Nothobranchius furzeri: one gene and its partner. The main gene of each other region encodes a partner of the protein of the gene in region 2 in a complex. Links are inferred from orthologs where the notes say so. Each region holds a gene or a part of one and is shown on either strand. Other genes may lie near its edges. The genes, in order: pdgfrb and ptpn11a.

What was found.
Region 1: the proteins of ptpn11a (region 2) and pdgfrb are in contact, whole or in part, in a crystal structure (PDB 1AYA), measured with the Mus musculus proteins. The link is inferred for Nothobranchius furzeri from reciprocal best matches to the Homo sapiens genes PTPN11 and PDGFRB. Residues at the interface, in NP_001103462.1 of Mus musculus: Gly13, Val14, Glu17, Arg32, Pro33, Ser34, Lys35, Ser36, Thr42, Thr52, His53, Ile54, Lys55, Leu65, Gly68, Gln87, Leu88, Lys89, Glu90, Lys91, Gly93, Ile96; in NP_032835.2 of Mus musculus: Ser1005, Val1006, Leu1007, Tyr1008, Thr1009, Ala1010, Val1011, Gln1012, Pro1013.

Annotation. Positions count from the first base shown.
Region 1 is NC_091741.1:96,098,647-96,105,358, forward strand, and holds part of pdgfrb (platelet-derived growth factor receptor beta), read right to left. Parts: intron 5,691-6,712; 5' UTR 5,665-5,690; coding exon 5,616-5,664; intron 4,242-5,615; coding exon 3,924-4,241; intron 3,847-3,923; coding exon 3,592-3,846; intron 3,259-3,591; coding exon 3,128-3,258; intron 2,747-3,127; coding exon 2,581-2,746; intron 561-2,580; coding exon 380-560; intron 1-379. UniProt on the Homo sapiens protein: Tyrosine-protein kinase that acts as a cell-surface receptor for homodimeric PDGFB and PDGFD and for heterodimers formed by PDGFA and PDGFB, and plays an essential role in the regulation of embryonic development, cell proliferation, survival, differentiation, chemotaxis and migration.
Region 2 is NC_091746.1:40,325,138-40,331,849, forward strand, and holds the end of ptpn11a (tyrosine-protein phosphatase non-receptor type 11), read right to left. Parts: coding exon 6,682-6,712; intron 6,047-6,681; coding exon 5,892-6,046; intron 5,816-5,891; coding exon 5,748-5,815; intron 5,346-5,747; coding exon 5,194-5,345; intron 5,111-5,193; coding exon 4,992-5,110; intron 4,920-4,991; coding exon 4,850-4,919; 3' UTR 4,811-4,849; intron 1,165-4,810; 3' UTR 935-1,164; downstream 1-934. UniProt on the Homo sapiens protein: Acts downstream of various receptor and cytoplasmic protein tyrosine kinases to participate in the signal transduction from the cell surface to the nucleus. Positively regulates MAPK signal transduction pathway. Dephosphorylates GAB1, ARHGAP35 and EGFR.

The DNA of each region.
Region 1 (6,712 bases), on a different chromosome or scaffold from region 2:
ATAATCAAACATGATCTTCTGACGATTTCAGCCAAAAGCAGAACTGTTGGACAGGAACTTTTCTGATTTACTGATTGATTCGAGGCTTTTCAACAATGAACTTTTAAAATCCCATTTAATTCGATCGTTTTGGTTGAAAAGGCAAGAGCCCAGGCTTTGTTGAGCGTTTGAGGGTCATTAGGGAGTTGTGATAGGTATTTAGTGTTTATGGTTCCTGTGCGCTGAAAGATGGCTTCCTTCCCTCTGGAGAGGATTGGATTTCTCTCTGTGGAGGTCTCATCTGGTGGTGACGGACAGATCGCCTCTGGAGGCTCCTGGACTGTCCAAAGTTTTTGATAATTCTTTAAATATAAGGAGGCATTTAGATGAGCTGTTCCACCTTATTTCATGCTCTTGTCTGGAGAGGATGGCTGTGTCTCCCTTGATGGCGGTGCCGTCTTTGGTCCAGAGAATCTGAGGAGGAGGGTAGGCCTCGATGTCCACCCTCAGCTCCACGTTCTCCTGGAGCTTGGCTGAGATCCTCTGATGCTGCATGGGCTTCATGTCCACAAAACCGTGTTCTGAGAAGAAAACAAGCCTTTGTAAAGCATTTTCTATTTAATCTTTTAAGTATTTCTTGCATGTCTGTTTTTCTATTCTAGTCAGAAACATGCAAACAGTGCACGTCTGCAGGAATGAACCACTGCTCACGTGTAGTGCATCTGTGTTTAAATTAAAACATTTAGCAAACTGGGAATGTGCTTTAGTGAGGGCATTTCTTCTGTTTCAGCTCTGAAATATGTTCCATAGTCACAAAATCATCTACATTTGCTGGTTTTATATAAATGTTTTATGAAACTTTTGTTATTTGCAGTATGTTTTCTTTCTTATTTCATCCAGTAACTGTAATTCTAAACCTGCCAGTGAGCTTAAAGTTGGCATAACAACACGACAACCTACAAATAGTTAATTTTAATGTATTTTAAATAAAATTAGAAAAAGATGTTGATTTATTTATCTGAGTGATATCTTAGCTGACATCAGCAACAATCAGATAATCAGAATATTTATATTGAGTTGCAGGATAAGCTTTCCTTTAGAGTTGTGGTATTTTTTGTGCATGCACAGGCCCTTCTCAAAAAAATTAGCATATTGTGATAAAGTTCGTTATTTTCTGTAATGTACTGATAAACATTAGACTTTCATATATATTAGATTCACTACACACAACTGAAGTAGTCCAAGCCTTTTATTGTTTCTAATATTGATGATTTTAGCATACAGCTCATGAAAACCCAAAATTCCCATCTCAAAAAATTAGCACATCATGAAAAGGTTCTCTAAACGAGCTATTAACCTAATCATCTGAATCAACTAATTAACTCTAAACACCTGCAAAAGATTCCTGAGGCTTTTAAAAACTCCCAGCCTGGTTCATTACTCAAAACCGCAATCATGGGTAAGACTGCCGACCTGAATGCTGTCCAGAAGGCCATCATTGACACCCTCAAGCAAGAGGGTAAGACACAGAAAGAACTTTCTGAATGAATCGGCTGTTCCCAGAGTGCTGTATCAAGGCACCTCAGTGGGAAGGAAAAAGTGTGGCAGAAAACGCTGCACAACACGAAGAGGTGACCGTCCGGACCCTGAGGAAGATTGTGGAGAAGGACCGATTCCAGACCTTAGGGGACCTGCGGAAGCAGTGGACTGAGTCTGGAGTAGAAACATCCAGAGCCACCGTGTACAGGCGTGTGCAGGAGATGGGCTAAGGTGCCGCATTCCCCAAGCCCCCAGGAAAGTGTTTATCCTCTCAGGTTCTGTTCACTTCTTCTGGCCAGAAATGTTGTGAGAAGAAAACAGTGGAGAATTTTTTGTTGAGTCTGACCAAAATTATTCCCACAATCTTCTCTTAACGAGCGGGATGTGATATGCCTAATAAAAACATTTAATATGTGTGTAATGCTTTTATATATGCAAAGTTTGACATTAATCAAACTCATCTGGCCTCCGCGTTGGGTGGCAGACCTGTCTATTAGACAAAACTAACAACAACCCTGGTCTCCTGTTTCCATCCAACATGGAGGTTTGAGTTATTTAAAGGTCTTTTAAAACATAACACACCTCGCTGCAGATGGAGTAAGCAAACACACCCCCAACGTGCATGCAGGGGTGGACGTAGCACGAGAAAAAACAAGTTCAGTCAGAGGAATCCTGTTTTTATTGGCTCCAAGTCCTGTGTTGTAAATTTATATGAGTTTCTGTTTAAAGAAAATTCCCAGAAACACAAACACATCCTCACCTAAAGTCTAAATATAGAGCTGCTGCTCCCTCTGATTTGCAGGTGTGAGCTTCAAGGTAATCACTCGGGGGTTTCACGCTGGGGCCGAAGTTTATTTGACATAATCCGCAGAAACAAATTAAACGGGTTTTCATTTCCTCTAAACAGCCCTTCTCCTGCTTTAATATCCCAGTGTTAACATAAGAGTCGGTCAGCCAAACCCAATAATAATCTTCAGAGAATCAGTTTGTTTTAGCTGTGTGTGTTTGTGTGTGTGTGTGTGTGTGTGTGTGCGCGCGTGTGTGTGTGTGTGTGTGTCTAACCGAGCACGGTGATGTGGATGCTGGCAGAAGCTGTGTGTCCTACAACACTTTCAATGACGTGGCATTCGTACGTGCCGCTATGAGCTACGGTGACTTGAGGGAAGAGGAGCCAGGAGCGCATGATGGCGATGGGCAGGTACTCCATCTGAGGCTCAACCTCCATGAGCTAAAGGAGAGAGGGAAACCAGAAGGATCAAATTTACACAAGTTAGCTTTGTGGGGTCATTTTTAATCTGTAAAATAGTTTTAGGTGCAATCTTTGTTTGAATCCTGCGTTAGCAATAAAGTTTAATTGTTTAATTTGCCTTTTAACAGATGATTTCAACAGTGAATAAAAAACACAAGGTTCCCCTATAACAGACATCGGAAGAAACAGGTCACTCTCCACTCCTGATGTTGTGAAAGCATTTACACAGCAGGATCGAGGTGTGTCTTCACATCTTGATGCACTTTGGGTTTGGTCAGGAGGCCGCACAGGGATCACAAAAACAACAACACAAGGAGAAAGCTGAAACAAAAGCTCTTGTTCTGCTCCGCTCCCACTCACCTCCCTGTTGGGAAAATCCCATGAAAAATCTGCCAGCTCCACTCCGTGCACTGTGCAGTTTATAGTCAGCGCTTCGCCCTGCTTCAGCACCGTCTTTGTGGCGTTGATGTAGGGGTCGATGGTCTTGGGGACTGGAAGGAGAGACGAGGGTGACGGAGAGGAGGGGAGAGCATGGATTTAACAAATCACAGGGGCAACAAGCTGACCTCAGTCATCATTAATCAGCTAATTGCACAAAAGCAAACGTTAAAAACAACATTTGAATCTAACAAGTCAGAGCTACATTTGACCTTTGACCTCTTTGGTTCAATCTCTTTAAAAGTACTACAACATAATAAATAGCGATTGTCACAAAGGAAATAACTCTGGTACTAAATCTTGCCGTTTCTTCTCTTATGAGTTATTTCTTTTGGGTTTTTGGGCTCAGACTGAATAAATCTGAACTGTCTGACCTGGAAACTTACCAGTAATGCTGAAGACGTTAAAATTCTGAGACTCTCTCAGTTCCCCGTTCAGTTCTCCCCGACACACGTACATCCTGTCCTCAAGCGCCACCTTGAACCCCTCTCCAGGAACATACAGGCCTCTGATTGGCCGGCCGCTGTCCTGTTGGTGGAGCGTGACGGTGATGTTTGGGTTGGTGACCACACAGGGGATGGTGCTTTCCTCACTGGTCTTTGCTACCGCGCCGTGGTGACTGATGAACCACACCTCAGGATCTGCAGCGAGACGTGAGTTTGCTCATTAGCTGTCAGAAAGCATTTAGGAATATTAAGATATTACAAGCAGAACTCACCAGGGACAAACACAACCGCCTCTTTGGTTTCCCCTGTGATCACATCAGTGCACTGGTACACACCAGTGTGCCTCCAGCTCACACTCCGCAGAGTCAGAACACTGGACGTCAGATTTTTCTGCGCAATTTTGTAAATCTGTCGTCCGTATTCATCTCCCTCTCTTAGACGCTGACTCAGATCGTCTGTCTTAAACGCCCAGGTTGCCTCCCTGGATCCGGAGCAGGTTAGGCTGAGAGTGGAGCCTCGATTCAGGACGAACGCTTTGCCATCAGGTTTGATCTCCAGGCTGCTAACTTCAGCGCAGAAAAGCACCAAAGCTGCAGTTTACGCAACAAAATAGGAGGTCAGCATGGAGGGGCTCAAATACATGGTGCAACGAGTTCAGAGGTCAAGTCAACAGTGTAAGTCAGATCCTGGTCTATCTCCACCCGGTGATGGATACAAGCTGTCTGGAGCAGATGAGTAGGAGGATGAGGACGGCTATTCAGTGACAGATGGATTAAAAATCATTCAGAATGCGTCATTTATCCTTCACATCAAAGCGTTTGTTTTCTCACAGCTGATCTACAGTCTATGTGCTGAGGTCAAAATTCAGCTCATCAAATTACACTTTAAATACTTTTCCATTAATTAAAGGAAATAATCTGTGATTATAAAATATGTGATTAAAATGTATGTATTGTTTCACTGTCTGTTTAATTTGAGAATAAACATTAAAGGGGACATATTATGCAACTTTTGTGCTGCCATGTGGGTCTCTGTCACCTCTATAAACACTCCAAACGTAGAAATAGCCCGTTCATCCATTTTCTCAGTGTTTGGTTTTAGCAACTATGTGCTAAATCAAGCTGTTTCAAAAAGTCTCTGTGTGTGAAATCAGAAATAGCAAAAGTAGTGGAACGTAAGTTAACGAACAACGCTCAAAGAGAATAAGAAAATAAAATATGAGGGAGAAGATGTGCGGTTACATGTTTTTTTTTCCGGGAAAGACAACTCTACACACGCTCAACCTATTTAATCTGAATGAATGCTTGGTGTAAGTATACTCACGGCATGATCGGATAATTTCAGTTAGTGTCCATATGAACAGAGATTTGAGATTTCCGATCAACCTAGATTTGAATCGGATTGGGGAAACTTGGAGCACGTAAACGTAGCTATACACCCATTCACACGCTGGTGGGGATGAGCTACGATGTAGCCACAGCTGCCCTGAGGACCACTGACAAGGGCGAGGCCTGCCGAACACAGGCGCCATCTATTCTCTGACCACCACCAGCACACAAGGCGGGTTAAGCTTCTTCGCCAAGGACACAACGGCAGCAATCTCTGGTGAGAGTCGGAATCGAACCTGCTACCTTCCAATTAATGGACAACCCGCTCTTCCTCCTGAGCTACTGCTGCCCCTACGAAATAAAGTGAAAGCGCCCTGAAACGGCTCATTCTGGAAGGTTCTGAAAACGTCAAGAATAAACAGCTGAGTTAGCTTTATGTGAGAGGGATTTTATGCAAAAAAACTCAATAAACTTATTTTTATTGACCACAGAACTATTTAAAATTTATGAAAAAGGTAATAATATGTCCCCTTTAACTGCATTAATTTGCCTTAAAAGTACTGAAAACAGGTCTTGCTCTCCTGCAAGACAAACCCCTCATTTTCACTTGTTGCTAGATTGGATTGTAACCCTCACCTGTGAATGTAACTGTCCGCTGGAGCACGGATGCTGTCACCCTCCTCATTGTGGCTGCCTGATGACCACCTTGTTCTGCAAACAGAAATCAGAGAAATCCCACGAGTCATTTTGGTAAATTACTGACCCTCACGCTGTAAATGATTGCTAAAACGCAGGTCGTGTGACATTAAGTCAAAACTGGTAACAGATGTCAGTCAAAGTGAGCAAAACAAAAGAAGAAACATATTTTTGCCCACTGAAAATAAAACAAAACACCCTAAATGACAGACCTGGTGTTTCTTGAAGGAGGTATAATTGATAATTGGTAAAAGCTTGAAAACAATCCTACATGTAATCTCATGCTACATCTCACACAGTCGGTGTCTATTATGAATGACTCTCAGCTACTTCCACACCAAGTTCACACCTGTAACTACAAAGCTGATGGAGTTGTAGCCATTTTTGCATGAGCCATGGTTGTGCAGCTGCGCTGGTGGCCTCTCTCAGCAGTAGATGGATGATCAGCAAATACTTTCTGATAGTTTCACTAAAATCCATCCAGTGGTTCAAGAGACATTTTGTTAAGATCACAAATCATTTGCCAAAGAAAGCTGCTCGCTTTCTGTCTCAGCGCAGATGCAGCTGAGCTCTGGTGGTATTTGATGCCTCGCTGCACCGGGACACAGCAACAATGTCCCACGTCTTTGTGTTGCTGGTTCACCACCACTCTGCCCACTAACAAACGGGTCACTGTGTGCAGCTTTACAGCACGCTCACTGGCAACAATGCTGCGTCCAAGCTATTCTCCGGCCACGCTGAGCCATTAATTGGCTTTTGGGGTAAACAAAAAGTGAAAACTAAGGCATTCACTCTGACAGGAGGGCAATTCTGAAAGGTTGCCATGGGTTTTGCAAGACTTCTCATGTGCGCTGATGCAAATACAAAAGCTAAGAGGACCTGATTCAGTGGAGTTCGTCACCATCTCATCTCTGACTTTAACTACTAACTTCATGGTGGTGCAGAGGCCAGAGGAGATGGAAGAGGAGGGGTTTGTTGTTATATTTGGAGGGGGGGGGGGGGGGGGGTTCGGCCTGAAACATGCAGACGTCTGGAAA
Region 2 (6,712 bases):
TTAGCGGCACGTGTGTGAATAAACCATTGGACTACAATCACATCCATGACTGATCTACGCGGTCAAAGCTGAGAGACACGGGATCGCTTCATCAAACACAAAATCTTAAACTTAAGTACATGTGGTGCTCAAAATAGGCAATGGTACACAAAAGGCATTTGTCCTCAAAAAGAAAGAGTTAATATGCACTTTAAAAAAAACTGAAGAAAAGTTTTGGCACTGCCATGAGTCTGCAGCGATGCCTGCAACTAAAATACACAATAGATTCCCCTCAAACCTTAAAAGGTCAACGTACTGACTGTGACAGAGAAATGCAGGCTGCTATGGTAACTCCTCCCTAAACCCAGATTAGATTATATTCATAAAGGTTATACAGGGCTTGAGTGGAGCTACCATGCTGCAGCATTGATGATGTTCAGTTTGAGCCCAGGAGTGGTGACGCAGGAGAGTGTGAAGATGACTTAAATCTGTCAACCAGACAGATGAGACCATTTAGTCTCTAAGCGGACTGGATTTGAGTTTCTCTTTCAGCTGGTTCCACACCAAAAAGAAAAACTCTCTAAGAATCCTAAATCATGTGATGTTGTTTTGAATACTGACACTAATGGCTGGAAATGTTACCCTCATCTCCTTCAGCCTGAACGCACTTAAAGGCTAACCAGATTAATAACGTGTTAAGTGTTTACAAACTGTAGCTTAAAAATATATATTTATATATACTTGTGGGTTTGGCACAAGCCTTTTCCAAGAAACTCCTTGTGTATTTTTCAAAATCTTTGTTACTTTGGTCATTAAAAATTACAAGAAAAAAGCAAGATGAGTGAAGGTTAGTTGTGTCTGTCCCTCTGAGGAGAGGAGAGTGCTCCCTGTTGATAACCCGTGTTAGGTCGGATGGACAAAGGCTGAACTCAACCTGTTCAATGAGTTGGTTAGGCCTCTCCTCTGACGATCACAGTGGTTTCAAATTCAACTCAAGGGAAAATGTTTGTGTAGAAAAATCAAGAAAAAGGTGCCGCCGCTGCAGACTCTGGTGTCTGGTCTCCCTCGTAGTTTAGTTTGTTCTGTTTAGGCACCCTCTCCTCTCCCCCCCCAGTGTCCTGCGTCATCATGGTTGAGTCTCAGGCTTCAAGGTGTGGCTGGCGAAAACTGTCAGGTATCAAGATCCTGGAAGGGAATAACAATGCATATTGTAATTAGGGTGTTTTTCTTCTGGCTTAATTTTAAACAGTTTCCTGGTTTTAAGGTTTTATTTTTTGCAAGTTCGTTTTAATCATCTCGAACATCTTTCTGCAAAGTAAAGGTTCTTCACATTTACTCTGACAAGAGCGCGTAATGCCATGGCTTTACACTAGGAAGGTTTTCACACAACTTGCTGAACATCTGAATTATTAATAGGGCTGAACGATGATTTCTAATCAAGTACGTGTTTTCTGACGACACTATCATGTGATCGCCAACGGCGCAATTTTTTGCAGGCTCCTGACTGACCCTGAATCTGTTGCTTCAACTATCCAGACACATCCAGAGGTTTCCTCAGGTTATGTCTGTAGCAACGAGCGTCGGCGAGGCGGGGCCTGGGCTGCAGGAGTTTGATGCTTGAACAACAGTAATGAGCTCGTCAGGACCAGGAGAATTTGGTCAGTTATTTGTGGTTCTTTCTTTTGGTGGCGGTACTATGGCCGATGTTATTCAAAGCTGGGGTAATCTGTCTCCCTTGCTCATTTTCTGTCCTCTCAGCATCATTTGCTAGTGTGAGAGGGAGGGGCAGAAAGGCATTTATCATGATAATATTACGTTGAACTGAAAGCACAACTTCCCCATGATGGCAAAAACCTTTGCAGTCTTGCGCTAAACCAAACTGCGAATGCAAAAAAGTGTCAGTGTTCTGTGTTAGAGCGGTGTTTTAGTGAGAGAAAAAAAGCATTCAGGCAGCCCAACCTGGTAAAACAATGCATATTATTAACTATATTTTAATTAATACCTTTGAAAGCAATTCAGTTTTCATCTTTTCCATTATTATAGCAATAGCTTTCAATGTTTTGGACTTCCAAATATTTTGTAGGAAATAATCAAACTAAAATATAAAAACATGAAATATTTGGTTACGCTGGCTAAACTAATTACTGCCAACACCACAGGGATTCAAACCCACGTCAGCACCTGGTACAAATGGGATGGCAGGTAGGCACCAAACCTAGTTTATGGGTCTGCGTCTGTATGAAGACACGCAACGCCATTATCTGTCCTTGCGAGGGCTCTCCAGCAGGCTCGCAAGTACGGACGGAGTCGAGCTCACTTTTATTTTATTTAATGTTTATTTAACCAGGTGAGTCGATGGAGAACTCATTCTCATTTATAACGGCAATCTGGCCTAGAGGCATTTCTAAGCATCCGTCAAACGAGACAGAGAACACAAGCTTGTGATTGGTCAGGACGTCGCTGTCGTCAACAGCGCCACCATTGCGCTCTCAAAAACATAGAGAGAGCCAAAGATATCTAGCGGTAGACACAGAGCAGCTTGAAGAATACCTTGCGGAAAAACTCTAAAAATATGAACATTTTGTTCACTCATGACTGGAGGAGTACAAAGAAGCGCAGCAAGCATTTTATTCATGGACTGAAATGACAGGAAACGTAGATTTAGAGGTGGTGAGCGCATAATGAGGGACAAATTTGTCCCTGTCAAAAAGCATCTGAAATACAAAAAACACAATATAAACAGAATATTAAATGCACTTTCTTGGACCCGATACATGACAGGATACCCCAGAACAGCGCTACACCCTCTGTTGTCCTGGCGGGGTCTCCCCAGGAGACAGAAAAGTCCAAGAGCAAAATGTCTCTGTGCGTCTCTCCCTTGTGGAGCTGACGCTGAAGCAAAAACTTGGATTAAGACACTGCTGTAGGCACGTTTTGTCGGTGTGGGCGGAGTTTCACTGAAATAAAGTTTTATTTTCGGGTATAAATTCAGGCTGACAAAAATAACTTGTATTTAAGACAAATGACATTTCAATGGTACCATTAGTACAATTTTATCATATACCGTGAAGCGGGAGCTGTCGGAGAGGATTGCGCATATGAATGTCAGTATAAACTTGAAAACTGTCAGTTTAAGGACTTTTTGTGATACATGAACGTTATTTTAGTTAGAAATGTTACAGTAAAAGTGCTTGTATTGCGGTCTCGGCTCGTATGTTCGGCCGCTCGGTGTCGTACTTCTCCCGCTACGTTTTACCCCTGATTTTAATAGGAGTTTGTATTTTAGGGACAAAAGAGAAAACCAGGGAATTTATTAAGCTTAGGGCGGAGATGGACCACATGATCACTGGAGCAAAGCATTTGGCGGCTGTGGCATGGAGGTACAATAACATCTCATATTTTAAGTTTAGTTTTTTCTGCGAAAACACGAAAGGAATAACCTGTTGTCCTCCTTTCTCTGACTTTTCTCTTCCTGTTTCTTTTCTTACATGTTTGTTAAGACTATTCTGGAGAAAATGGGCATCCAGGGGAAGGTGCCAGCGATGACCAGCTTCTGGAGCTGATCAGGGAGGGCATGAGGCTGCAGAGGGAGGCAGAGCAGCAGAGGGCTCAGGAGAGAAGGGAGAACTTTGACAGCTTTTTACTTTACTAGAAATAACGGTTAAGAAAGATTAAACATGTACATATAAAAGAAATATCTAAATAAAATCAGTTCTGTATTAAACTCTTGAATTTTATTTTTGTTTACAAATGAGAATTGTTTACTAGAGGGTATCCCGCTGGGTCTGAAAAGTCTTAAAAGGCGATAAATCGGTTTTGGTCAAATTAAGACCCTTAGAAAGTATTAAAAACTATTATCACATCTTTGCTCAGCTTGTCGAAAGTATTTTCTCTGAATTAGCTCTCCAACAGTCAAGGAAATTATTAAAAAGCTAAATAAAACTTCGAGCTCCATCGTTTAAAGTTCCTTCTCCCTTCTGCTCAGCGGTTCCACGGTTGCTAGGCGACGGAACGTTCGCCAAGGGAGTGGCGGGAAATCATGAAGGCTAGGCCTGTCCAAATTCACAGCCGTTAACATCCGGTCTACTCGGCCGACGGAGGACCCAGCCCACGTCGGCCGAGTAGGCCGGGTCCTTCGAAGGATGCAGACCCTGAATTGAGACACAGCGGCTGTCTCTCTTCATGCTGTCCACCGCCTCAGACATGAAACCACTGCTGTTGTAAGAGCAACAGAAAACATTTTAAATTTGATTTGAGCAGCCACACATACAGGAACTATTCAGCCACTTTGAAGCATGTGTGTTTTTTAGGTGGCAAACTGGAGGTATGGCACAGCCCTAATTTGTTTGATCTGAATCGAATCATAGTTAAAGTGAACAGAAAGATAGAAAATTAAGACATTCGGTAACTTTATAATAAATATATAATAGGTGAACCTCATTATAAGGACGAATGATAAAACTGCATTCTCAGTGTTGGCTACGAGGCTATGGAATGAGTTGCCTTTATTCGTGTGCCAGTTGCCTTCTTTGCTGGTTTTTACGTTCCGTTTGTCGAAGCGCAGTATTCTTTTATTAGGTTTTATGCTTTTATAGCCATTTTATATCATCTTATTTGTACTTGTTGCCTGCTGTATTGTCCAGCACCATGGGCGTCTGATAAGGTCGTGGAAGGGGCTTTACAAATAAAGTCAAATGAAATGTTCCAAAGGAGAGGAGCTGCTCTGATCTATTATGTTAATATCTCCATTTATCTAGGTTATGTTTGGCATTGTTTACACGAACAACAGATGTAACACTGAATATTATCATTTCTGTGTTGTTGTAATTACCTGGAATTAATAGCAGCACTCTGCTGTTGAAGGTCAGTCTCATCTGAAGCTCTTCTGCTGCTGCATCAGACTCACATTCTCATAGACCCTGGAGCTGTCCTCCCTCATCCTGACAAACACACCCCTCAGTGAGACACAACCTGACATGGGGTCAAACAGCAGATCATTTCTGTCTACTCACTCTGTGCAGGTGGGAGTGGGAATGGGTGTGCAAGGAGGCAAAGGGCTCTGCTCTCCACCACTCAGGTCAGACAAAGAGTATTTTATGTTGGTGTACTCACGCCCTTTGATCTTACTTTTCTGTTGAAGAGACACAGAGAATGGCTACAGAAGAAAACACAAAAAAAGGAGTAAAATGAAGAATCAAGGCATCTGCTGCACACCTGCTCCTCTTCTATGCGCCTCTGCAGGGTTTCTATGTAGTGCTGCACAGCCATGTAGATGAACCTGTACTGGGCCTCCGTCTGCACCATCCCAGAGCGCAGAGAACGAACCATCTGGATGCTCTTTGGTACATCAATATCACAGTCCACCCCTGCAGCAACAGAAAAATTGCTCTCTAATTTCTCTCTGGGATTAATAAAGTATCTTTGAATTTGAATTGAATTGAATTTCTGATTGTTGCACAAACTTCATTTTAATGCTTTTTACTTTATCTTTGTCAACTACAGACTAAAAGTTTAAAACCTCTGGGAACCGTGGATACAAGGACATGTACAGACATTCATTCCTTTAGGTTATTTTTTATATATCGTTCATGTGGTGAATTTTATTAAAGTCACAGCATGTTACAGAGACAAAGATGAGAGAATATTTTAATAACAATAACAGGGATGTTTTAGTTTGTACCCTGCTGTTCAGCTGAAGGGCTCATTAATAAAGTATGTTTTTGTGTTATAGCTAATGTATACCTTGTGCTGATGAAAAGCCAACTCACCCTTTTCTCTGATCACATCTATCAGGATGTCTATCACAATAAATGTTCCTGTCCGCCCGATCCCTGCACTGGAAAAGACCAAACAGAAACGGAGTAAAGGTTTTCCCTCCAGCGCCGCCGCCCCCGTGTCTTTTAGATTCCTACCTGCAGTGTACCGTTATTGGCCCAGCATCAGCAACGCTCTCCTGTTTGAGGTTGACTTCCTCCAGGAAGTCCAGTACACCACCTGGGTCAGCAGGAACACCGTGGTCTGGCCAGGTTTTGAAGTGGTACTGCCACACTGTGCGTTCTGTGTTAGCCTGACAACAATGTTTAGATGGTGCGTCACTAAGAACTTCAGTAAAATGAAAATAATTTTCAGACCCCCAAGAAGAAAACAATTTAAAGTTGTGGATCACTCGTTTAACCAATACATTTGCAGTAGTCTCCAGTAGGAATGAATGCCTTGCAGGCAGAACTCAGGCCACAAAAAGCCCACAAACCCCTATCTCAGCAGATAATTGGACATCTTGCCTCAGACTGGACAACAGCAACGCGACTCTACCACTAACTCTGTTTGCTCGGGGACATGGATGTTTTACCTCCACAAATAACAAGCCTGGAGGAGCTTCAGCTGTGTGAGTGAGTTGCTAACGCTAGCGCTTATCTTCGGTTTACTGAGACATTTTCTGCTGATTCTGGACAATAAAACAACAACAGCCTTCCCCACCGTGAGTCAATATGGGTAAGTCCAATTCACCGTCTACTTTCTATCAGAAGCTAATGCAGGAGATTGGTGTAAGAAACTATTTTCATGTTCAACCTGCATTAAAACTCAAGAGTGACCGATTATAATCAGAAATAATCATTAAAAATGTTTTTTCAGTTAACCATTAACTAATACTAAAGTCATAATGGTCAATAAAACTATTCCTACAAACCACCAACAGCTTACCTGCCCAACTTTGGACAGCTTCAGTTCTCGT